Linked DNA regions of Tribolium castaneum. The protein of the gene in region 2 binds, or shares a complex with, the protein of the main gene of each other region. Links are inferred from orthologs where the notes say so. Each region holds a gene or a part of one and is shown on either strand. Other genes may lie near its edges.

Region 1 (7,664 bases), on a different chromosome or scaffold from region 2:
TTATTTTAAGCAATTTTATTCGTTGAGTGCAAAAATTACACCGAATTCTACATTAGAATTTAAGATTGTGAAGCTTCCTGTTCAAATCCTCAAACTTGAGAATTTTCCTTATAAAGAAATCGCCGTATCTGTGCGCCACTTTCGTGTCGGCGATATGAATCATATCATTATCGATGTAGAAATCCAGCTGAAATATTTTTTTACGAAACAAAACCAAAAATTACAAAATGTTACCTCTGAGCCACTCTCCAGCTTCCCTTCCAGCCCCGACGAGCCCTTCGACCACACCACATTCTTCATTTTGTGCTTGAAGCACAACAAATGAATCAAAAGATTCTGCGTCTCCTTATCAACATCAAACTTCCCTTCACTGTTCTTATTCTGCGCCATGAAAGTCGCCAACTTGGCAATGGGCAAAGTGGTGTACAACTTCAAGTAACTTCTAATCGTTGGCAACATTTTTTGTTGCTGGACCTCGTCCATAAAAACTTGAGTTTGGTGGCGGATCGCCTCCTTCGAATAATCATCAGGGATGGAATCCACCGGCGGAGGACACGGCGAAAGAAACTTAGGACAAGCGAAAACGAAACAATTTTCAAACTCCTGGAGGTCCCCATACTGCATCTTGTACATTTTCTCATGGTAGCTTTTCTCTCTCAGAGTTTGCTGGATCGATTCGTCGATACACTGCGGGTGCAAAACCAAGCAAATGGCCAACAAGTGGTACATCTGATCCGTTTGCTTGTTAATCTGGTCGTGCTGATAACTTTTAGAAGCAAACAATTGCTTGGTTCTCTGAATGTACAAGAGAATGGACGAAAACGTGCGAATTGCGTCAGAATAGCGCCTCATCATCATGTACCCAAACCCCACATAGTACGACGTTGAGATCAAGCAAGCCGGGATGTGCGCATACTGCGACTTCTTATGCAGCTCAATGTTTTCCAGCACTTTGATCGACTGGTAGTAGTCCCCGAGCAGAGAGTGAAGCCTCAGAAGCCCAATCAGGGAAAAATAGCCCAACATTTTGTAGAGCGAGTGACTCCCGAACTCGCCGGCCACCGAATCGGGGTCGCCCCCACTGGCGCAAACCTCCAGTTGTTGCTTGATGTTGCTCTTGTCGACCAGAGAATGCAACACGTTCAGAACGCAAAGTACGTTCCACACTTTATTGTGCGAGTTTAGAGTCTCCAGTTCTTGGGCGGTTTTCTTCTGAAGGCGGGCCCGGTATTGGGCGAATGATTGGAATTGGTAGACGAATTCGTCGATTAATTCCCATAGCCACAAGTCGGGGAGTTCTAGAGGCACCGGTTCGTCAGCGCTTAGGATGTAGTTGAAGAGGTCGCAGTAATTGTAGAACGAATTGAAGCGCTGCTCGAGGGTTGGGCCCCCTTGAATGCGCGCGTAAATGTGGCGGAAGTAGAGCTCTTTGTACAGGATCATGAACACCTGCAAGAAGGGTTGCATAGGATATTTCCCGCAAGAAGTAAGTGAAAATAATAATTTTCACGTATTTGTAATCATTGAACCCAAAAAATTAATAATTAATAATGGTAGAGAATTCTATACGTGAACAAAATCAAGCGTTTTCAAATTGGAAGTTATGTTCCTATAAATAGTGTCAAATAACTGAAATACAATTCAAAAATTATATATAGGTTTGGGACAAAATATTAATTGTTAAACGTACGTAATTTAATTTCCCAAGAATGGTGTTCCTTTTTTTGATGACTGTTAGTTGTTTTTTTATTTTGGTTAAAGTTTTCATGTTATAATAAAATTGTTACGTAAGATAAATTTTTGTGTCCCGTCCGTAATCTCACTACTTTTTATATACAGGGTGCTCAAAAACTGGCGCACCAACTCAGTGGTACGTTATTGAGAAGCAAGTGCAGATTACGGGAAAAATGTTGAATAAATTTCTAAAGTTATATTTTAAAAAATCTGGAGCTACAAACTTATTGTGTTAACTTCTTTAGTTTTCATTATTTTTTTATATTTCTATGTTTCATACCAGGTTATCGTTCCGTAACAATACAATGAATAATTATTTTAAAATTTACTATCAGATTTTAGCAGTTTTTTTAATTAAAAAAAATTAAAACTCATCCAAAAAATCACAATGTGTAGATGTGCCAACACTGGGAATTATTTCCTAGGAAACCGTTTCAAAAATAATTTATTTTTATTGTTGCTCAAATTCTATTGCAATCATGACTGTTAGACAACGTTGCCACATATCATTTACCTAAAATTAGTTATTTATCAATAACAGTAATACAAAGATTTTTTTTACTATTTTTACCTTTATATGTAACCAGTTCTCTACCACACACCACTGAGTTGGTGCGCCAGTTTTTGAGCACGCTGTATTTGGTATACACTCCCTCAGTATTACCTGAATCCGTAAAAAAATCATTCATAATATTTCTATTATGAGTAAATATTTTTGTTCTTTCGAAAATATTCACAGATTTTTATACTTATTTTAAACTCAATTTTTATTAGGCGAATACGCGTCCAGTCGGTAATCAATTACTTATAACGATTTTCATTTCAATTAATTTCATCACTTTAAATATTACTATCTTTTTGAAAAAGATAGGCCATTTGAAAATAGAAGTTGACAGAAATATGATTAGTAGATTGTGGAGGTAGTTCCTGGTTAATTTAGTTCATTACATGTTTTTTTTTTTGTTAACTAAATGACTGATTAACGATTTTACTTATTTATGCAACAAAATTCTGTACCTAGGTTTAATTTAAACATTGTTTTTAGGAAAATGCTTGAGGTACCGTCTATTTATTACGATTTATCACTGATTTTCTTATATTTTTAAAAGCATATTTTATTTTTCAAAAGAGAGACGAACAGTTGAATAGTTTTCCCGTTGAGATCTCAATTTATTTATCTTATCATGAGTTTTTAAGGACAACAAATAATCTACTTTGAAGATTCTCACGATTTTTTTGGGCCTAATTAAGACTTTGTATTCAAATTTTCGTTGGTAAATACTCAAAGTTAATTCTTTAGTAAATTGTGAAGACAGTTCTGTTAATTCAGTTGATTATAACATAATTTTTTTTGTTTATGCAATTTACTTGGTTAAGCGTTTTACTTATTTATAGAACAAAAATTCGTTTAATAAGCAAATTTTATGATTTATTTCAAGAAGTCTCAAGCCTCGAGAAAAAATATTATTGGAAATGTATTTGTCTATTATTGACTTTGGTATACTCCTAATTCAAAAAAATGTAGGAAAAAGCTGTTTTATTTATTTTGAAATCGATTACCTTTAAATGAAATGAAATTTAGAATTTCGTCGAAACTGTATAGTATTAGAAAAGATATGACCTTGTAAGCACCTTATTCAAAGTTTATTTTTTGTCGTTAAATCTATTTTTATTTTATTTATTTATTTTTATTTATTTTAATATTATTCATCGCATTATTAAAGTCCAAAACCAAAAGTCGTATTTATTATTATTTTAAACCAATTTTTTTCGCCCATGCTGCGTAAATAAATATTTAAGCAAAAACTTTACAATCAATAGACATCAAAGAATCATAGATATTGAGCGATTTCTTTGTAATTAGGTCGCTTCTGACGTGTCCTTTTGCTAAAGACATAATAAAACCCATTTATGTTCATTTTTCCCTGCTACTGCTTCCAACAGTCGCAATGGAGCATTACAAAAGGCAACTCCTGAGCAAAAAAGAAGAGCTCAAAGAGAAAATCTCTGAAGAACTCAAAGACAAAAGTGAACACGTTAGGGAGAAAATCAAGGACGTCCAAGACATTGGCACAGAAGGTAAAATAATTGATCACGTAAAGGAAAAAATTAAGGATGTCCAGGAGAGTGAAACTGGGGGTAAAATACTAGACCAAGTGAAAGACAAAATCGAGGCGGAAGGTAAAATAGTCATGGATTTACTCACGGGATCACTGTCGACTAGCGCTGACACTTCTGACTCTTCTGGCCAGGGGCGTTTCTCGAAATAATCTTCGGTTAGTTTTGGCCACGAAGTTTCATACAAAGTTTGCAACTCAAAGATTAAACCCTCATTCACGCAATTGCGGAAATAGATTAGGAAGTTTTTGACTATTTCCGGCATCTTTAGGTGCTGTTTATTGTACTCGTTGTCCAAGTTGGGGTCTCCTGTGTGAGCCCCATACTCATCATAGCTGTTGTATTCATAACCCTGAAATAAATGAAAATCAGTGTCCAATTTATTGTCAATTTTGCTGCCACGAATTATGGGAATGGTGCATGCTAAACATGTAGGTCGGTATTATTTCCACACTTTTACAAATAGGCTTGAGACACATGGTTCAATTTGCAAAGCTTTTACTAGAGTTTTATAGAACCCAGTGTAGGTTTAAGGATAAATTGTTCAAGTTTTAGGTGTTTGAAGCACTCACTTGCTCATAATCGTCGGAAAACATTTTGAATTTACTCATTATATGCCTACGCCACTATAGCGAGCAAATGGTCTTGCACTTAACCTCGAAGCCAGTTGACGTTTGACAATTACAAATTACAGGTTTCTACTCGAGGTGGTGCAAGAAATTCCATTTTTTTCTCATTTTCAAAAGTATTTCCGCTGAGTAAGTGAGAAAAATGTTTTAAAATAAAACGATCAATAAACATGATGTTAATCTAAATGCAAATTTACTGAGCCGGTGATTTAACCTCATTCCCCAATTGCTCGTTCGAACAAACCTTGAACTATGAAATCACAAATTTCTTAAATAAAACACAATGATCGGTAGTCAATCTCAGTGAGTGATTAGTGTTCGTAACCGTATGAATAGATATTAAGTAATAAAATGTTTGCCCAAGGATTTACAAGTGGTAATCCCCTGCTTTGTGATGGTACAAATATTATTCTTCATTTTGCAGTTTTACGTAGCTTCCTCAGTTCAGAACCCGCCCCAACCAAAGTGATTGACGCCAAATCAGACGCTTTTTCCGACCGAGCGATTCACCTACGGGAAGATGGATTGGTCCTCTACCTCCCAGCTAATACAGTTGACAAGAAAAAAGGGGCCACTTACGAAATTGTGCTCCATCGCCCGTACACGGAAAGCCTACACCAAACCTACAGGTTTGTGCCCCCGAACACGTCAACTGTTAAAAAAATCAATTTTTAGTTTATACCGCTCGCCAAATCTTGACGAAGCTGAAGTGAAATTTTGTGTCTTGAAGGATAAGTTACCCACGTTTGTTGAGATTTCGAAAGAAGTAATTTGCTGTAGTTGTTAAAAGACGATTATTTGGAATTTTATTTCAGATGTATAATGTGCAAGGTTTGCAAAAGATTTGTGACGTTCTTGCGGAACACCCCTCTTGGAACTTGGCCCATTTGGCGGCGTATTTTAGTCTCTATGATTCTTTTAAAGACTCTAAGATTAACAATTATTTGAATAGTACTGATGATGAAACTGGGATCTCGCCACTACAAGTTGCTATTACCACGAAGAATTTGAAGACGGTGCAAGTTTTGGTTGCTGCGAATGCGTCTTTGGAACATCTCGATTACAACTCTGATTCGGTGTTCCATTACGCCGCTAGCACCACCAAAGATATCATTGCCGTAAGTATTGAATTGTGCAAAATTAGATACGGAAAAGTTGTACATAAGGAATTCTAAAGATTTTTTTCTGACGATTTTAAATACCTTTTTTTAGTTTAACATTTGTAAAGGCCTTGGTCATTTCCATTGAGCATTGTTTCGTTTGTGTTATGTGGAAAATATCAAATATTACACTAGAGTATAGAAAAATTCCATTGAACTAGTAAATAATAAAAAACGAGAACACATTTATAAAGTTCATAGGTCAAACGTTGACATTTTATTTACGAGATGTTTATTTCTATTAAAACCTACTAGAGACAAACAAAGTTATCAGTTTACCTAATAAGTAATCACTAGTTTTAGGGAACCTAATTTTATCAATGAATGGATTGTACTCGTATTACAAATAAGGACATTATTGGAAAAACAATTAATAGGCATTGCTTTAACGTTTCCAACGAGTGTTTCAGGTTACTCGTAAAATGTGACAATATGGGTTGGTTTAAGAACATTTTAATTAATTTTAAAGTACAACATTAATAAAAAATAAATGAACAAATAAATAAATAGCGAAATGAACATTTATTCAAGAATTTTTTATTGTTTAAAATTTTATTTAAAAAATCCTAATATCATCCGTTACTTTTCTATCAAACTTCCGATTTAGAAGGCCTTTGAACAAATTCGGTTTTTTAATTTTTAGACAACACTGCTTTAATTAGCTATATTGTAGGAATATGTTTTTGTAAAATGCTAAAACAAGTTTGCATTTTTTATAAGAATGGTGCACGGACAATTTTTTGAGTAATACTTTTCTCATGAGTAACAGTAAAGAAAATTACTGAAAATTTTTTTGTTAAAGACGTTTTTCTCTTATTTCAATTTGTTTTTGTAAACTTTTCAGACGATTTTGAAGCAAATTTTTACTTTCTTGAAGCTAGCTAATTTTGAAAGTGGAACTTAGTCTTTTAACGATGTGAGTGAATCAAGTAGTTGAAAAGGCTACTAAAAACTATTTATACTAGAGAGTAATTCAAGTCTTGTTTACCAAATTTATAGAATCAATTGAGAAAATCAAGATATTAATATTTTTAGACATTGAGATAATTGAATTGCTTTCGATGTAAGCACATTTTTTTATAATTTGAAAGTGCAAACTACGATTAGAGATAAATAAGTTTTTCTATAGAAGTGGTTTTGACGTTGAAAACGAATAGAATTCACGTAGAAGTAGAACGATTTTTCATTTTCTCTGTTGATTCTAAAAATTTGGCAACAACTTGAATCCGTCTGTATTTACAGAGTGAAACAAAGCTTTGGAACAAAGCGTTTCTTGCTTAAACTCCGTAGACTGAAGAATACAAATAAATGTAAAATCTGTTTAAAAAAATAATTTTGTAATAAAGTAAATAAATAAATAATAGTTTTCATACACAGTACTATAAAATTAAATAAATCAATATAACAAAACCAATCTGAAAAATTATAAATATCTTTGGTGAAAAAATCATTTTCCACTCTCCGAATATTTCATGAAAGTACGTCATTTCCCACCTACGACCCTCATTTTCCTCTCTCGGGAGGAAATAACGTTCTATCATAGAATATTTGGAAGGTGAAAAAAATAATTTTTGATGAAGACGCCAAAAAAAACATATATAGCACTGGAGAAAGCGCCTTTTTTCTCCCTTTAAATATTAATTCATCTTCGGGGAAGAATCGATGTTTTTCCTGTCTTGGTATATAAATAGTTATTTCATTGGATTTGATTCTCATGAAAAATCAAGCGTAACTCCAACAATAATTTGTATAAAAATTATTTGATTATTTAAAAATCAAATGAAAACTTCTTCTTTAGCCTTTTCTTTTCTTTTTTATTAAAGAATACAATTTTTTGAGATTTTTGAGAGATTGTTTATGACTTACTGTCATTTTTATAATACTGTACTTATTATTCGTTCACGATTGTTTTAAATTCTCAGCAGGCCTAGATATATTTTTCTTAGGTTGGCCTCAGGTCCTGTCAGGTACTGTCTTTATGACGTTGTCTTGTCAAAAATTCGCTGTGTTGTCAGTTCTACTG
Region 2 (7,639 bases):
CGAGATTTCTATTTTCAGATAACATTTTTATCACTTTTATCCGACTTTTATCGAGACTAACTACAAAAGAATTTGAACTCAAGGCATTTTATTTAATTTACAAAGGATAAGGTTTAATAATTGCAATTTTACTCGTTTATTATTAAAATTATTTGGTTTTGCTTAAACCGGATGGATTTTTTGTATCAATACGTTGCAGGGGAGACCCGGACAAAGCCGACCTCTTCGGCAACACGGCCCTGCACTTGGCCGCGGCGCAGGGCCACAAACACATCGTCACATTCCTAGTCAATTTCGGAGCCAACATTTACTCGACTGATATCGACGGCCGCACCGCCCAAGAACTCGCCGGAATGAACAACCGCGACGACATCCTGCGGTTCTTGGACGGCGTCCACGCCAAACTGGAGGCCGGCGACAAAAAGAAAGCCAAAGCACTCAAAGAAAAAGCAAAGAAAGAGTCAGAAAAACGCATCAAAGTAAAACACGGCCCCGTCGAGAGAAACCAATCGTTTCACTTTCTTTTCAGGAATTCAACAAACGCCAAGTCAAAAAAGAGCAAGTTCAAGAGAAGCTGGAGAAACGTATGAACAAAGGTCACCACAGGCCGTCGATGATAGAGACGCTCAAAACCAGAATTAAAAGTGGGTCCATGTCGAACTTGTCGAATCTGGGGCCGGCCCCTCCGAGGTTCAGCACCATCGTGGGCAACGGGACCGTTTCCGGGATGCGGAATTTGGGGTCGGTGCAGAAGCGGGTGCTCGCCAGCCGAACAACGCGGCCTGGCTTCGACGACGACTTCAAGGTGCTCCCGAGAGTAAATAAGCATTTATTTGAAAAACTCGTTCCAGATTAGTGAAATTGAAGACGGCAAACGCTCAGTCAGATCACTAACGGGGTATCGGCGAGACTCTGAGGTACTTTACACGGGGACCATCGATGGCAGGAGAGGCCGTCTGGAATCGGTCTTCAACGAAGCTGAGTACATAGAGTCGTCTCCGCCGCCACCACCGTCCAGCAACGGCCTCACAAGGTCCATCTCCCAGCCTGACTTCATGCACGAATTGGAAACAAACGGCGACACTAAACTCCAACAAGAACCAGCGAGTATTTTCGTGCGCCCAGGAATTGGAAGCATAGCGTTCCGGTAACAAATAATCAATATGCGAAAGCACAAAAACACGTTTTTTATTTAGAAAGAGCATAACCAACACATTCCAAGGCTTCTACTCCAGCGAAGGCCCCAACGAGGAGAGTTCAATCGGGTCAGGGGAAAGCTACGGCCCCAGAACCAACACTCTATCAATCGAAGACGAGTTATCAGACCCCGAGTCCAGCGACGACGATAACCCGAACGCTCCCCTGGAACGCTTCTTGACCGCCTGGGGGCTAGGAGAGTACCTTCCCCGCTTCGAGGAGCAGAAAATCGACCTGGAAACGCTGATGATACTGACAGAAAACGATCTCCAAAGCCTGAACTTGCCCCTAGGGCCGTACAGGAAACTTGTGACCGCTGTCAGCGAACGCAAAGCCGCGCTGGAGAATCCGGGCGAAGTCACAGACAGCATGTTGTAAATATGGAGTCAAAATGTGTTATTTATTCATTGTCGTGGACATGATAACGGTATTGCTTGTATTTTATGGGCACTTTTTGTACAGATGTGTGCCAGGCATAATATTTACAAATTCGTATTTAAATTTATTATAAATAAATGTGTGTTATGCAAATGCGAGCTTATTAAACCCACTCCTTATCAGTGTTCTCTTTGCTGAGAGAAATCTGATGTCATCGTCAATACGCAATAATAGGGGACGTAAAATATACTACGAAAAAGTGAAGTTACGTGTAGAAGAATTTGAATTCAATACAAATTTTTGCGCTGTTGCGTTCTTTGTGATGGCAATGAGTTTTTATGCAAAATAAAGTTAGTGAGACACCAAAATAGAAAAAAATAATGCCTTATTGCCATTAGAGCTTATTTTCTTGCTGTTTTTCCAAGTTAAATATTAGTTATTAACAATGCAATAAATCAATTAGGTTGTAATGGAAAAAATTTAATTTAAAATTAATTGGAAACCCAAGAGTGAAGGATTTTTAACAGGATTCCATTATTATTTAGCATCGCCAACTTACATCAAATGTCGCTGCGGATCAGGGTGACAATTTTTTTCTGAAAAAAAGTGTAGAAAAGGTAAGTGAAACAACACGTAAACAAAAATTAGAGAATTAAATTGAAAAAAAAGTGGATGAAAATGTTTTCTCAAGCGCAGCGACATTTGATGTAAGTTGGCCATGTTATTTTGATTTCAAAAGCGCCGAATTTCAAAAACTGTCGATTGTCAGAATCTGCGCGCGCACATTTCTTTTTGCCAAGTGTTGTGCACAACTCGCGGTTTCTGCTTCAACATATTGAATTGAACACTTCCTAACTTCTGAAAGCAAGTCAAATGACTATGACTGATGGTCAATCAGCGGGTGAGGTCCCCAAATTCGTGGCCCCCGTAATCCAGGACAACCCGACTGGATGGGGGCCCTGCGAGCTGCCCGACCAGTTCAAAGATATGCCGTACCAGCCCTTCAGCAAAGGCGACCGTCTCGGCAAAATCAGCGACTGGACGGGGGCCGCCTTCCAAGACAAGAAATATGCCAGTTAGTCTGACATTGACACATGTCAAATTTGAGGTTAAGTGACTTATTTTTCGCAATTTTAGACAAGTATGCGTCCCAGTTCGGTTCTGGCAGTCAATACGCGTATTATCATGACGAAGACGAGAGCACTTTTCATTTGGTGGACACAACACGCGTCCAGAAGCCCCCCTATCAACGGGGGCGCTTCCGCGCGAACCAGCGCAACTTGCGCGGGCGTGGCGGCCGTGCTGGGGTGCAAGGCAGCGGCATGCAGTCCCTCGGGAAGGGGGTTAAAGCCAGGGACACGTATAAGAGGAGCCAGGTTAAGAAATGGGGACAAGGACGGGTAAGATCTCGCTTGAGTTTTACCGCAATATAGTTGGCGGTTTTAGCCCCAGATTAAGATCAGGGACGCTTCGGTTACGGTCAAACCGGATTGGGTCACCATTGAGGAAATGGATTTCCCTCGGTTGGGAAAATTGTCGCTCCCTAACGTCAAAGACGGTTGGTTTAATTAAGCAATGCGAATTTTTCTATTTTGGTTTTTAGGCGAGGATATTACTTGTTGTGGCGAGTTGGAGTACTATGACAAGTCGTACGATCGTGTCAACGTGAAGAATGAGAAGCCGCTGCAAAGCGTCAATCGTATCTTCCATACAGTGGGTTATTTTTAATATCATTGATGGCAAAAAATTAAAATTAATTATCCTCAGGTTACAACAACTGATGATCCGATTATCCGTAAGTTGAGTAAAACGGAGGGCAATGTGTACGCCACTGATGCGATCCTTGCGACCATCATGTGCTGCACTCGCTCGAATTATTCCTGGGACATCGTGATTGAAAAAATTGGTACTGTGCCCTTACAAGTGTAACAAATCTCAAACAAAATTTTTCAGGCGATAAACTCTTCTTTGATAAGCGTGACAATACGGAGTTTGATCTTTTAACCGTCAACGAAACGTCCGTGGAGCCCCCACAAGACGACGGCAACTCCTTAAACTCCCCTCGAAACCTGGCCTTGGAAGCCACTTTCATTAACCACAATTTCAGTCAACAGGTATTAAGAACAGGTACCGGGGAGCCCCGCTTCAAGTTCGACAACCCAAACCCTTTTATCTCCGAGGAGGAGGAAGGGGAGGTCGCCAGTGTGGCCTACAGATACCGCAAATATGACCTAGGGAGCGGAATAGTAATTTTTTCGTTTTGTTTCTGTCCACGTTTAATTTGTGTAGTTTTTGGTTGTCCGTTGCGAACACGATGCCGTGGTCCAGTCCCCGAATGGCGAGCTCCAATTCCTGTCAATCAAGGCCTTGAACGAATGGGATTCCAAATTGGCCAATGGGGTGGAGTGGCGCCAGAAACTGGACACCCAGAGAGGCGCCGTTTTGGCCAATGAGCTGCGTAATAACGCCTGCAAGCTGGCCAAATGGACCGTTCAGGCGTTGCTGGCTGGCAGCGACCAAATTAAATTCGGTTATGTTTCCCGGGCCCATGTCAGGGATAACAGCAAGCATGTTATTCTGGGTACACAGCAGTATAAGCCGCACGAGTTTGCCACTCAGATTAATCTGAATATGGATAATGCGTGGGGGATTCTGCGGTGTATTATTGACATTGTTATGAAACAGAAGGATGGGAAGTATTTGATTATGAAAGATCCGAATAAGCCGATGATCCGGTTGTACGATATTCCGGATAATACGTTCGAATCGGACGGGGAGTCGGAGTCGGAGGATGAGGTGCCCCCTGATTCCGTGACTTTCCAGACCCTTTATCCATACACCAACAGTGCGAAACGCTAGATTTTGTATTTTTATCATGTATTAGCGAAAGGCCGAAATAAAATGATCAATAAATAATAATTTGCAGTTAATTCTCGTGCATAGTATTAACCAACAAGTGAAAAAAAAATAAAACGGACTCTTGTCGTGTAGCAGCAGCAAGGTGCATTTGCTCACGCATTTTTTAATTTTTTTCAACAAAGAAAGTAAAGCTGTCGTATTCACAACAAAAGAAAAATAAAGGTAAGTGCATTATTCTATTTTGTTGCGGATTTACTTTATTAGGTTTAGAATTTACTTATTCAAGATTATCAGCACATTTTTATGACGTAAGATGTCATATTATCGTATGATTCATTCTTTTTTTGTTAATACGTTCCAACATTCAATAACTAAATCAAATTAACAGTTTTATTTTTACTCGAACCCACACAATTTGAGATGTTGAAAAGTTATAATCGTTTGAGTGCAACATTTTACAACAGATTAACTACTTTATAAAATTTTCAAACTAATTTGATGACATTTGAGTTTATGATGTCGTAAAGTGTATTTTTTCAATTGCTCATCTCCAAGTGGGATTGAATATGTGATACAATTAACATATTGTAAGTGAAATGTGGAATGGTAGGTATAATAATGACATAATATTAACTTGGTTTTTATTTATTTGCAATACCTTATTGCTACATATTGTAGCGGAAGTAGATGCCATGAAGATAAGTGCACTTTAATAATTTTTTTCATTTTACAAAACATCAGCTTTTTAAACTATTTTTCCCTCGAAACTAATTTGTTATTCTTCCACGAATGAAATAATGGAGGGGGGAAAGGTTTGTTACTTTATTTTTTTTTTTTTTGAATGAACTATATAATTTATTGCCGCACTTATACAATATGTTTGTTATTGTCTTTTCCAATATCTTAAATGTTTTAGTTTTGTTTTTATCAACAACAGGAGCCCTATACCCACAGTAGTTTTCGAAATATTTCACTTATGAATTCACATTGTGGAGTTAAGCGAAATATCTTTCTAATTTTTTCAAACACATTAAGCTGTATTTTGTGAAGTAGCGTTTCCATAAAGACGCATTTGTACCCAAATGAAAAAAATAAAAGTGGTCCAAACCACTCATAAAAAACATAATTAACTGAATAAAATTGAAACTTACCAAAAAGAATTAATCCAAAAAAAAAAAAATTTGTGGTCTAGTTATACTTGTGAAAACGTTTGGCCGCTTGCTTGTTCCAGAAGGGCTTCCTGTCCCTTTGGGGCAAAGTGTTCCTCAAGTCAAACATGTTTTGCACATTTTTGCCAATTTGATTATTCCATTTTTTCTTATTACTTCCCGACGGTTCATTTCTACCAAACCCAGTTTGGTTAAATTTACGTTTATTTCTAGAAAACTCATTAAACCGGACGGGATTTCCCTCCGACAATATTTGCATAACTTCGTCCAAATGTTCCTTCACGTGTGATGACTGCGAAATTTGCATAATATCAGCCGAATCACTCGGCATTTGCAAAACCAAGGTCTCCATATTACTCTTAGATAAGACACAGCCCACGTTTTTGTCCAAATATTGGGCAATTTGGTGCCTCCAGCTGTTCAGTTTTTCCAAAACTAACAACTGGCGTTTGTGTATTTCTTCGACATTTCTACGAACCGACAAATACGCTTCATCTTCAACTTTAGGATAGAGAATCTTGCAGCAGTTATTACAATCATCAAGCACAGCCCGCAAAAGGTTCGCTTCAATCAACTCATTTTTGAGTTTGTGGTAAAACCCGATTAAGTAATGGGAGTCCACACGGGCGTAGTCTTTAAATTTGGGAGGCAGGGGCCTTCTGCGAAAATCCTGACGTTGCATTGTCTTATCCTTTGCGACGTGATAGTCCTGCAAAAGTGCGTCCAGTCCCAACTTTTTGTACCCCAGCGCTTTCATCGCGATTTGAGTGTCAAACAAGTTGACGACAAAAACACCCAAGTCCTGCTGGAGCCACTTCAGGTCATTTACCGCCGAATGAAAAATTTTCACAATGTCTGGATTGGTGAAAACTTCATTCAAGGCGTGCAACTCGTCTTTTAAGGCAATCGCATCGATGATGTAGTCTTTGTCAGGGGTCGATATCTGGACGAGACAAGTCAAAGCTTTGTAGCCATGATCCGAGTATTCAACGTCAACCCCTAACTCCTTCCAGGCTTTCAAATCGGTTATTAATTCCTCGAGACTGGTTTTCGTGTCGATGTCACACAGAGGGGTTTCCTTGAGCGTTTTGGGGGCCTCTATGTTCTCAACGCGAGACAACTGCTCAACGGTGGGCTCAAAATTGAGAAGGTGCTTGTAGGGGTGGCTTTCACACGAATCCTGGCCTAGAAAAATGTTAGAACACCCAAAACTGCGCTATTTGGTGAATACCAGCAATGTCAGCGTCACAAAATTTTTTCACAGATTCTTCATTACATGTCGTTACTTCAGCAGTCTGGACTTCAGCTTGTTGGGATTCTTCTTTTTCCATTGTTATTTCGTGCTTATGTAAGCGAGGGAAGTTAATTCTAATCACAAACTTATGACGCCGCAAAAATTAGACTAAGCTCTGCCAACATGAAAACAATAAAATGGCGAAACTCGCATTCGTTTAATTATAATTCACTTTAAATTACATCAGTCTGTAGTAATCGTTACTTGATTGAATATTTGTAAGAGCTGAAGACTTATCACCTAATAATAGTGTGATTTATCAACAAATTGGACAGTTTTTGGTCCTCCGTTTAGGGGATTTGTTTGTGACCACAGGTTGGCGGTGCTCAGCGGTGCTAAACTTTTCGACAATGATGAAGGCGGCAGGTTCAAAATGCGAGTTTATTTACTAATTGAAATATTCGCAAAAACAAACATTATTTCGGATTCAATAAAAATAAAAATAATTCTTTCACAACAATAAAGAAATTAATAGCAACGTGTGTGACAAAAGCCGGGTGTATTCCAATTTCGACTTTTGTGACGTGAATACTGCCTCTCTGGACTTCGTCTCCTCTCCCCTAGTCTGTCCAATTCTCGCAACTGACTTGAACTTGGGCCAAAATCACTGTGCTTTGTAGTTTCATTTTCAATTGCCCTAGAATTGTGCAGTGTTCCCGCCAGTAGGTTTCTTGTGGTTTCACAAGTGGCAAAACAAAACTTGTTCCTCACTCGTAACCGGAGTTGCATCTATCGTTTAAAC
Region 3 (7,873 bases), about 5.8 Mb from region 2:
GGCCAGTTCTGCAACAATTAGTTAAGAAGTGTTTTCAAAAAATTATATAAACTCATGAGTTTAGACATTTAATTTTTTTTACTAAAAAGTCAGGTTTTAAAGTGTACACGGTTCACATTTGTAAAAAATAAGCTTAAAAATATCTGTGTGGAAATAGTATATTAGAAAACAAGTTTCATAAAACCAGTCTTGAAGCACGAATTCAGTTTTAAAGAATAAGTACTTCAAGGTTTTATGAAACGAGTTTTTTTATACTGTTTTGTGTAATTTGTCCCCATTTTGCACTTTTTGTTATTTTAATCGATTTAGGGATTTTTAAGCCAACTGGTAATGTCTCAATTTTGAAAGTGAAAAATTGACATACTTTTTTTTGTTTTATCCAAAGCTTTAACGTAATACCACATTTAACTTCAGTGCAGTTCTGCCAACCTTCGAACATAATACAAATAATATGTGCAGTGGCGGACGCGAAATTTTGGACGCCTATGACATTTCGTTGACTTAAACGTATGGAATACTCCATACCTTTCGACTACGAAGTGACAGAAGTGCTCAAAATTCCGTATCTGCTACTGTACCATTAAGTATTTAGTAAATAAAATTTGTAACTTTTTGTTTGAAAAAATTGAAAGAAACGGTAAATTTAATCAAAGATCAGGTTAGTTATGCCAATGATTTATTATTATTTAAATACAGAGTGTTAGGTAATGGCTTAGCAAAAATTTAAAGATTTATGTAAATTTATGTAAATCAAAAATGCATGGTTTTTCAAAGAATTTGTTCTGAACTTTTGTTCTCAAAATTTGAGAACCGCTGAACTAGAATTATAAAATTTAGCGTAAATTCTAATAATATTGGCAAAACAGCTGAGCTAAAATAACTTGTTGGTTCACTACGTTATTCTTCTATTTCAATTTGTGTTTTGTTACTAAAGTTTACGAAAAAATATTTTTTTTGCCAAGACCGGGATTCGAACCTTCCGCACAAATGAAAATGTTGCCTTATTTAATGAAAAAAAAAAATATAATAATAACCGCTAATAAACTACCATAAGCCCAGTGGCTCTCAACAGGTGGGTTAATATTTTTTTTTTAAAGAAAGTACGCACCTTTTGGAAAAATTATATAAGGGTTTTTAACTCGTCTGATCATGACAAATTCACTTACACAATATTGCTAAGCCATTCCCTAACACCCTCTACATAGAGGGTCTAAAGTACAGCATTTCCGTCAAATATAACAGACGTAACCAGGGTATACATAAGTGTTAAATTAAAATCAGATTAAAAAAAATTAATAAATATCCATTTCCAATATTTGGATTCCCATTTGAAGACTGTTAAAAAATTCAACAGTTCTATTTTTACCGGAAAACAACCCTAAATTTCGTAAAAAACATTGTGACTTGATGAAAACCTTAGCAAAAAAGTTTGTTTCGTTTAAAACTACACAGAAAAAACCTCTAGTTTTGACCAATTTATTTTTTTGTTAAAAAACAGTGAACAAAATTTTCATGAGGAATTTTGAGCATATTGTATATGAATTGCCTATGTAATAGTACATTTTTATAGAACTTTGTTTATTTTTTTTCCAACCCTTAAACCAAGGTTACAAACAATGTTTAAAATAAAATAATAACTAATTTCTGAGGAGGAGGATCTAATTGAGGGATCTAGTTTCAAAGTGTACATCCTGCTGGTTTATTTTAGAATACGAGAAAAACTCGTCACATTGAAAAAATGTTTAAAAAATAAATAAATAATACCGACAATTGTGTGAGTTCATATTATCATCTAGAGAAACAAATAAATTCAAAGTTAAAAATAGGTTTTATGCAAAAAAAAAAACTAAACTGACAATTCATTAACACTTTTCCTCTACAGGTGTCTCAAAATTGGCGAATTCTCAGTTCAAAGCATTGTAGAAATCATTTCAGTAATCCAAATATATAAAAAAAAATTAAGATTGGGGGCATCCCCACAAAGATACACTGGTTTGGAAAATCACTCTTAGAATTGCGTTTCGTTCAATTGCATGCTAAAAGTTTCAGTATTTATTGGAAAAAAAAAACCCTGAAGGTATCAATACTAACCTAAGTATCGTTGGTATTGAGGTACCGGAAGAATCGAGGTATTGAAAATATCGTAGTATCAAGGTATTGACAGTTTTATGGTATCAGCTCTGGTATCAGTGAATCTAATTTTTTTACTGAATTATTGAAGTGTTGGCTTTTTTCTAATATATGCCATAGAAATGGATACATTTTATTCTGCGATTCTTTACAACACATAGACAGTCGGAAATTATGATACAGAATGTGTCTAATCATTTTTAAAATGCTTTCCCGAATTTTTTTCGTTTTATATTTTTATACAATCGCACAGTATTTTATGGTAGCATTTTAACAACTTTTGAAGGCATTTATTTATTATTTAATATTTACACTGATCTTTACATATGGTAACAATCTGAACTAAAATTAATTCACTCCTACTTTCTCTTCCAAACTAGTTTTGTAAATTTAATTAATTTCAGAGGACAAATTATAATTTTTTTCCTTTTTCTAAAATGCATTATTAAAAATTTAGTTCATTTAATATAAGTTTTTATAGAGTCAAAGTATCAACCATAATTAAATTATTTCCAATTTGCATGATTTTCTGACGTTTCAATTATAAAGAATACACTAAAAAACACCGTAAACTATAACAGGAAGATGAGCAATATTTTACGTAGATCTTTATGTAAATATTCAACGAGCAGCAAATATTCGAAGTTTAAAATTTATGAAACGCTCCTTCATACACAACCGTAACATAAATTACACTAACAGAAAGTTATCGCACTAGACTCGTTAAACGTAAAAATAACACACAAGTGCGGTAAATCACGTAGAAGAATGTCAAGTATTTCAAAATAATCACTAAACAAAATACAGGGCGTTTTTCCGTAAACTATTTACCTTACGAAAAAATAATACTAGTATAAGCAAGTACGCTGAAATTTTATTTTCTGGCCAATTTCGCAAAAAAAAAACACCCAATCAGAAACAATACCACATTGAATCAAGTAATTTTTTAAAGCATAACCTTTAACCAAAATAATCAAAAACTCGAAAAGTAAAAAAAAATTCAAAAATGACCACATTGTTAATAGACTTGATAATGTGCTAACTATTTTTTCGTAAAGTAGAAATATTAGAAAAAAACGTTTGGTTTTATACTTTGCCGGACAGAGTATGTAACTTACATTATTTTTTTTATGATTTGGTCATGTCATACAAAAAATACAAAGAAAGTTTATTCAAAATACCAAATGTTTAACGACAAATTAAGATAATAAATGTGATAAAAATTACCTTATATCCCAAATAATGATCCCTTTCTGTTGCGGATGCTGCGGATCTCCCTGAGGCGAGTACGTCACCAAATACTTCTCGCACGGCGAAAAATCAATAAATTGTGCATTGGCATGGGCATACCTTTTGTATTGGCTAAACTTCTGACCCACCCATAACGCGATACCTTGCTTATGGAAAGTGGCTAAATACGTACCTAACGGAGACCACTTGATATAAGCATGTGTCCAAGCCTATCCCAAAAAAAAATCATAATCATAAAAAACCAACCCAAAACGATTAAAAAAATTACATGTCTCTCCTCAAGTAAGGAAGGATCAGGCTGCGTATTTTGCCAAATTTGAACCGACTGTCCCTGTCCCAAAACCACGGCAAATTGGTCGTAAGCATCAGGCTCGAGCAAATAGTGGTGGACGTCCCCCTGGCCCTCGTAGGGCTGCGGCTTCGGGGGGTCCCACTCCTCCGGAATCGCCTCATATTTGGTAAAGTCAGTGAAGAGATTGACTTGGAAAGTGTGCTGCTTATCAAGCTTGAAATTATTGGTGAGCTTCACGGCTTCAGCTGCGTTGACTGGAGAGGAGTATTCCAGGAAAATGTAGCCTTTGGTGTGACCGTTTTCGGTCACTGGATAGTACTCATTGACTATGGATCCGAACTTGACGAAAATCTTATTAATGACGGATTTCAATTTCTCGATACGGTCGGGGCCCACTTGCGGGACACCGTCGACCACAATCACGCTCTCAACACCGTCAGTCTCCTTCGGCTTCTGCTTCAAAATATCGGCCAGGAGCTCTGAAACGACAAACCTAACCTCACTTTCGCGACCGCATATGTTGCAATCCAGGCGAGATATTTGATGCGAAAATGCTAAAACGTGGCTACGGTTTGCCAAATCCAACAAAAATTAATTGTTTGAGTGGACAGTTTTACGAAAAATGAGGGTTGAAAATGAAGTGACAGCATGGTTATGCCCGCATTTTGAATGAGCGTTTTTGGGGAAATACCTTCATCGGTGATGTTGTCGACGTATCCCTCGGGATCGCTGAAGTTTGGTTCATCATCGTTGGACGATAAATCGCTCTCGTTCTTCGTATTATTCCCGTTAAGGCTGTTTTTGTCGTCCACTTTCTTTTTCGCCATTTTGACACGCGTGAGGGTCGACCGGTAAAGAAGGACGCGCGGGAATAAAATGTCACAGTTTTGTAAGGCGCCAGAAATGAATTTAATGGAGAAAAACCACTTTTGGGCCCTTTCCAAGTATGGACTTGACTGCTGTGTCCTTAAAACTCATTTGTATGTTGCTAATTGGGTTAATAAATGATTAATGAATTAACGTAAGAAGTGTTGTAAAAATTGTAGAAGTTGTAAGCCTTGTCATTGGCCGTTTCAGGACGGCCATCATAATTATGTCAGAAAACCAATCATTTTCGATTTTTTGATTCATTCAAAAATTTAATTCATTGGTGTAATTGGTCCATTTGAGGTCGGCCATTAAAATAATGTGCAAAACCAATCACTTCAGAGTTTTGATTCATTCAAAAATTTGGTGCAGTTAATTGATGATTAATTCAGTGTTCTTTTTTCTTGATTTCGTGTAAATTATTATTTTTACATTAGTTAGGGCCGCTTTTACAATAGTCCAAGAAGAATAAATTTATTACGGGAATAAATTTTCAAAAATACATTGTTGAAACAATTGTAACTGTGTAATTTGGTACTAATTAAGTATACCACGAATAATTTGTTTACCCGAAGTTTATCTAAGGATAGTGAAAAATAATTAAATATGATATTTATTAACATAACTTTTCGCCAATAAAGTTGTAACCAGCAATACCTATATAATACATACACTTAAATTGGGTAGTAACAAAGCGATCAGTAATAAATGTAATTTTGATCAACAAAAAATAATAAATAATCAGTATTTAATTAATTTTTGCACAATAAAAAATTAAAGTAGTCGGTATAATATAATATTTTCCATTTAAAAAATTTAAGTGACACGTAAACTACGCACAGTATTTTATTAAAATTTGTTCGGTTTTCGGTATAAAGTCAACCTATTTTCAACCGCAATTCGGTACAAGAATCTTATTTTTTAATCTCTTGTCTTGCCTTACATTAAAAATTACAGTGATGGTTTGACTTTTATGCAAGATATTGCCAATCGCACACTTTAAGTGGTTAAGAAATTTGTACCAAAGTAACAAAATTTTGGTTTTACTGTGACCAGAACAATCTTCTGACTTAATACTTATTGAATAAGTCTAGAACACTCTCAAAATAAGAGTTTTATGGACAAATGTTTCACAAAAAAATTATCAGGAATTATTCGCAGCTCCAAATACAGCACGGCAAGAACTCTGTCAACAAGAACTAGACAAGAGTGTCACGGTTACACTCTGTATTAGTGACCAAAAATATTATTCTAATTTTGATTTTATTAATTGTAAAAACGTCACACAAGATCAAGTTATAAATAACAGTTTTTATTTTTGTTTTTCTTTAATTGAAACAACGGCGAACAGTCATTTTCATGGCGTTTTTTTAAACTTACGCTAATATAAATAACAATTCGTTTAAAAAAATGCCAAATATGTTAATTATAACTTCATTATTAAAAAAAATTACTAATATTCCCAGACTTTTTTGGAGTGTGTATTACAGGTTTAATGTATTTTTTCTAAAAAAAAAATATTGAAGACAAATCTTTTAATCTGGATTGTTTCCTCTATTTCTCTCTGGAGAAATAACCACGATCAATACGCACTAGTCAATTAATTTGAAACTTTTAAACCCCAAAATCCTAATTTTGTTTATGAGGCGTATCTTCACAACAGCAAATTATAACAAACTGAATAAAACTAAACGGCACTACAATAATTGTGTAAAGATATGAACCAGAGTTGGGCATAATCAGATTACAATGTAATTAAATTAATAATTCAATTACTGATTATTCTAATTACAATGTAATCTGATTATTTTGTATTCAATTACATTGTAATTACAATTACTTTTTATTAGCTGTAACAAATTACATATTAATTCAATTGAAAATTAATCGATTACTTTGTTATTAATTACATTATGACAGATTATTTTAGAAAACCATTTCCTTAGAAGGTTAAATGGAGTATTTAGGTTTGAATTCCAGAAAATCTATTAAATATAGATACACCATAAAATTGTTAATAGGATCTTTGCTGAAAAATTAAGAAAAATTAAAAATTTCACTCTGAAGGGAGGGGTTAAAAATTGTATAAAAATTGGTAATTATGTTTTGAGAAAATAATTTTAAACAAAACGTTTTAGCAACAGTTTTGAGTATTCGTAACTTTGTTAGGTATTATTATTTAAGTATAATAAGACAAAATTTTATTTGTGCTGTGTGGAAATATTACAGCTCCTAAGTTTTTGCGCTATAAATATTTTTATGTTTTACGATCTCAGATTAGCGATTTTCTAGAATATTGGACAGCTAATTTAATAAGACATCTTTTCAAAAACTAAATAATATTTATACTTAATTATTTTAATGCAATTAAATACTGCAGTTTTTGAAAGTAAGTAGGTAATTAATAATTATACAATATTTTTTGTTTCGAAATGATTAATTGGAGATTTCAGAAGCCAATCAGTGTAAGTCAAGTAATAGCAAAAACACGTTATTTAAATTATAAAAAATTGTTTTTAGAAAAGTATAACAAAACTTGTAAAACTGAAAAGCAAAATTATGATCGAAAGATTTACATTGCTCTTTCAACTATTTTTTTTTGGAATTTTAATTGTGATAAAGTTTTTTTTAGTTAGATATTTATTTTTTTTAATTATAATTTTTTGCGTTCATAGTTCATACATATGGAAGGTTAAGTAATATATTATCTTTGTCGTAAATATTACGGTTTTTAACAATGTTATAATTTGATTTATTTAGGTTTTTAGTCAATATTTTAGTAGTGGAATATGTTTTTAACAATTAAGTACTACAGACTGATCCAGAAATACTGAGTCTTTTGGCAACAGATTTGAATTTTTCTTCATAATTTGATTTTTCTTCATAATTTGTAACACTGAACCGGATTCGGTTTTCTTTAACATTTATTTGAGGTACAACCCCACAAGATTGTTAAATTGTTGTTAACTAGAAAAGTACTCTGATGGTATTCTTTATTTTATTTCTTTTTATTTATTTTCTTTTTATTGCCAACAGAATCATCAGTCTGCATTAATACTGCTACTTTAAAAAAAAATATTTTGATAGTACTTAAGTCAAATAAACAAATTTATTTACATAAAAAATTGTCTGGTTTTGTTATTTACAATAAATCGAAAAAATATTTTATTGATTTAACGCAACCAGTAATACGCAGCTTGGTAGAATGATTATTCTTTAATCTTTAATAAATTCAAGCATTATGAGCTTTTTTATATAAACAATAGCGTGTGAAGAAAAATAATTTTAATTAAAAATGCTCAAAAACGAGTCATTTCTGGTGCTGCTAGTTTG

What was found. Proteins that work in one complex are often made in the same cells at the same time.
Region 1: eIF3d1 (region 2) and eIF3l share a complex: the UniProt entries of both Drosophila melanogaster proteins name them as parts of the eukaryotic translation initiation factor 3 (eIF-3) complex. The link is inferred for Tribolium castaneum from reciprocal best matches to the Drosophila melanogaster genes eIF3d1 and eIF3l.
Region 3: eIF3d1 (region 2) and eIF3b share a complex: the UniProt entries of both Drosophila melanogaster proteins name them as parts of the eukaryotic translation initiation factor 3 (eIF-3) complex. The link is inferred for Tribolium castaneum from reciprocal best matches to the Drosophila melanogaster genes eIF3d1 and eIF3b.

Annotation. Positions count from the first base shown.
Region 1 is NC_087394.1:32,524,853-32,532,516, forward strand, and holds eIF3l (eukaryotic translation initiation factor 3 subunit L), read right to left. Parts: upstream 4,548-7,664; 5' UTR 4,464-4,547; coding exon 4,425-4,463; intron 4,288-4,424; coding exon of another isoform or gene 4,260-4,287; exon of another isoform or gene 4,205-4,259; coding exon 3,941-4,204; intron 3,814-3,940; coding exon of another isoform or gene 3,684-3,813; exon of another isoform or gene 3,429-3,683; intron 1,450-3,428; coding exon 235-1,449; intron 188-234; coding exon 53-187; 3' UTR 1-52. Other genes in the region: iPLA2-VIA (85/88 kDa calcium-independent phospholipase A2), read left to right, coding at 3,684-3,813, 4,906-5,110, 5,157-5,247, 5,297-5,599. UniProt on the Drosophila melanogaster protein: Component of the eukaryotic translation initiation factor 3 (eIF-3) complex, which is involved in protein synthesis of a specialized repertoire of mRNAs and, together with other initiation factors, stimulates binding of mRNA and methionyl-tRNAi to the 40S ribosome.
Region 2 is NC_087399.1:4,806,889-4,814,527, forward strand, and holds eIF3d1 (eukaryotic initiation factor 3 p66 subunit), read left to right. Parts: upstream 1-2,381; 5' UTR 2,382-2,448; coding exon 2,449-2,650; intron 2,651-2,712; coding exon 2,713-2,975; intron 2,976-3,021; coding exon 3,022-3,133; intron 3,134-3,178; coding exon 3,179-3,288; intron 3,289-3,342; coding exon 3,343-3,481; intron 3,482-3,528; coding exon 3,529-3,821; intron 3,822-3,864; coding exon 3,865-4,434; 3' UTR 4,435-4,491; downstream 4,492-7,639. Other genes in the region: Sans (ankyrin repeat and SAM domain-containing protein 4B), read left to right, coding at 200-479, 530-805, 852-1,147, 1,197-1,575. UniProt on the Drosophila melanogaster protein: mRNA cap-binding component of the eukaryotic translation initiation factor 3 (eIF-3) complex, which is involved in protein synthesis of a specialized repertoire of mRNAs and, together with other initiation factors, stimulates binding of mRNA and methionyl-tRNAi to the 40S ribosome.
Region 3 is NC_087399.1:10,620,604-10,628,476, reverse strand, and holds the start of eIF3b (eukaryotic translation initiation factor 3 subunit B), read right to left. Parts: upstream 4,548-7,873; 5' UTR 4,501-4,547; coding exon 4,365-4,500; intron 4,153-4,364; coding exon 3,650-4,152; intron 3,591-3,649; coding exon 3,358-3,590; intron 9-3,357; coding exon 1-8. UniProt on the Drosophila melanogaster protein: RNA-binding component of the eukaryotic translation initiation factor 3 (eIF-3) complex, which is involved in protein synthesis of a specialized repertoire of mRNAs and, together with other initiation factors, stimulates binding of mRNA and methionyl-tRNAi to the 40S ribosome.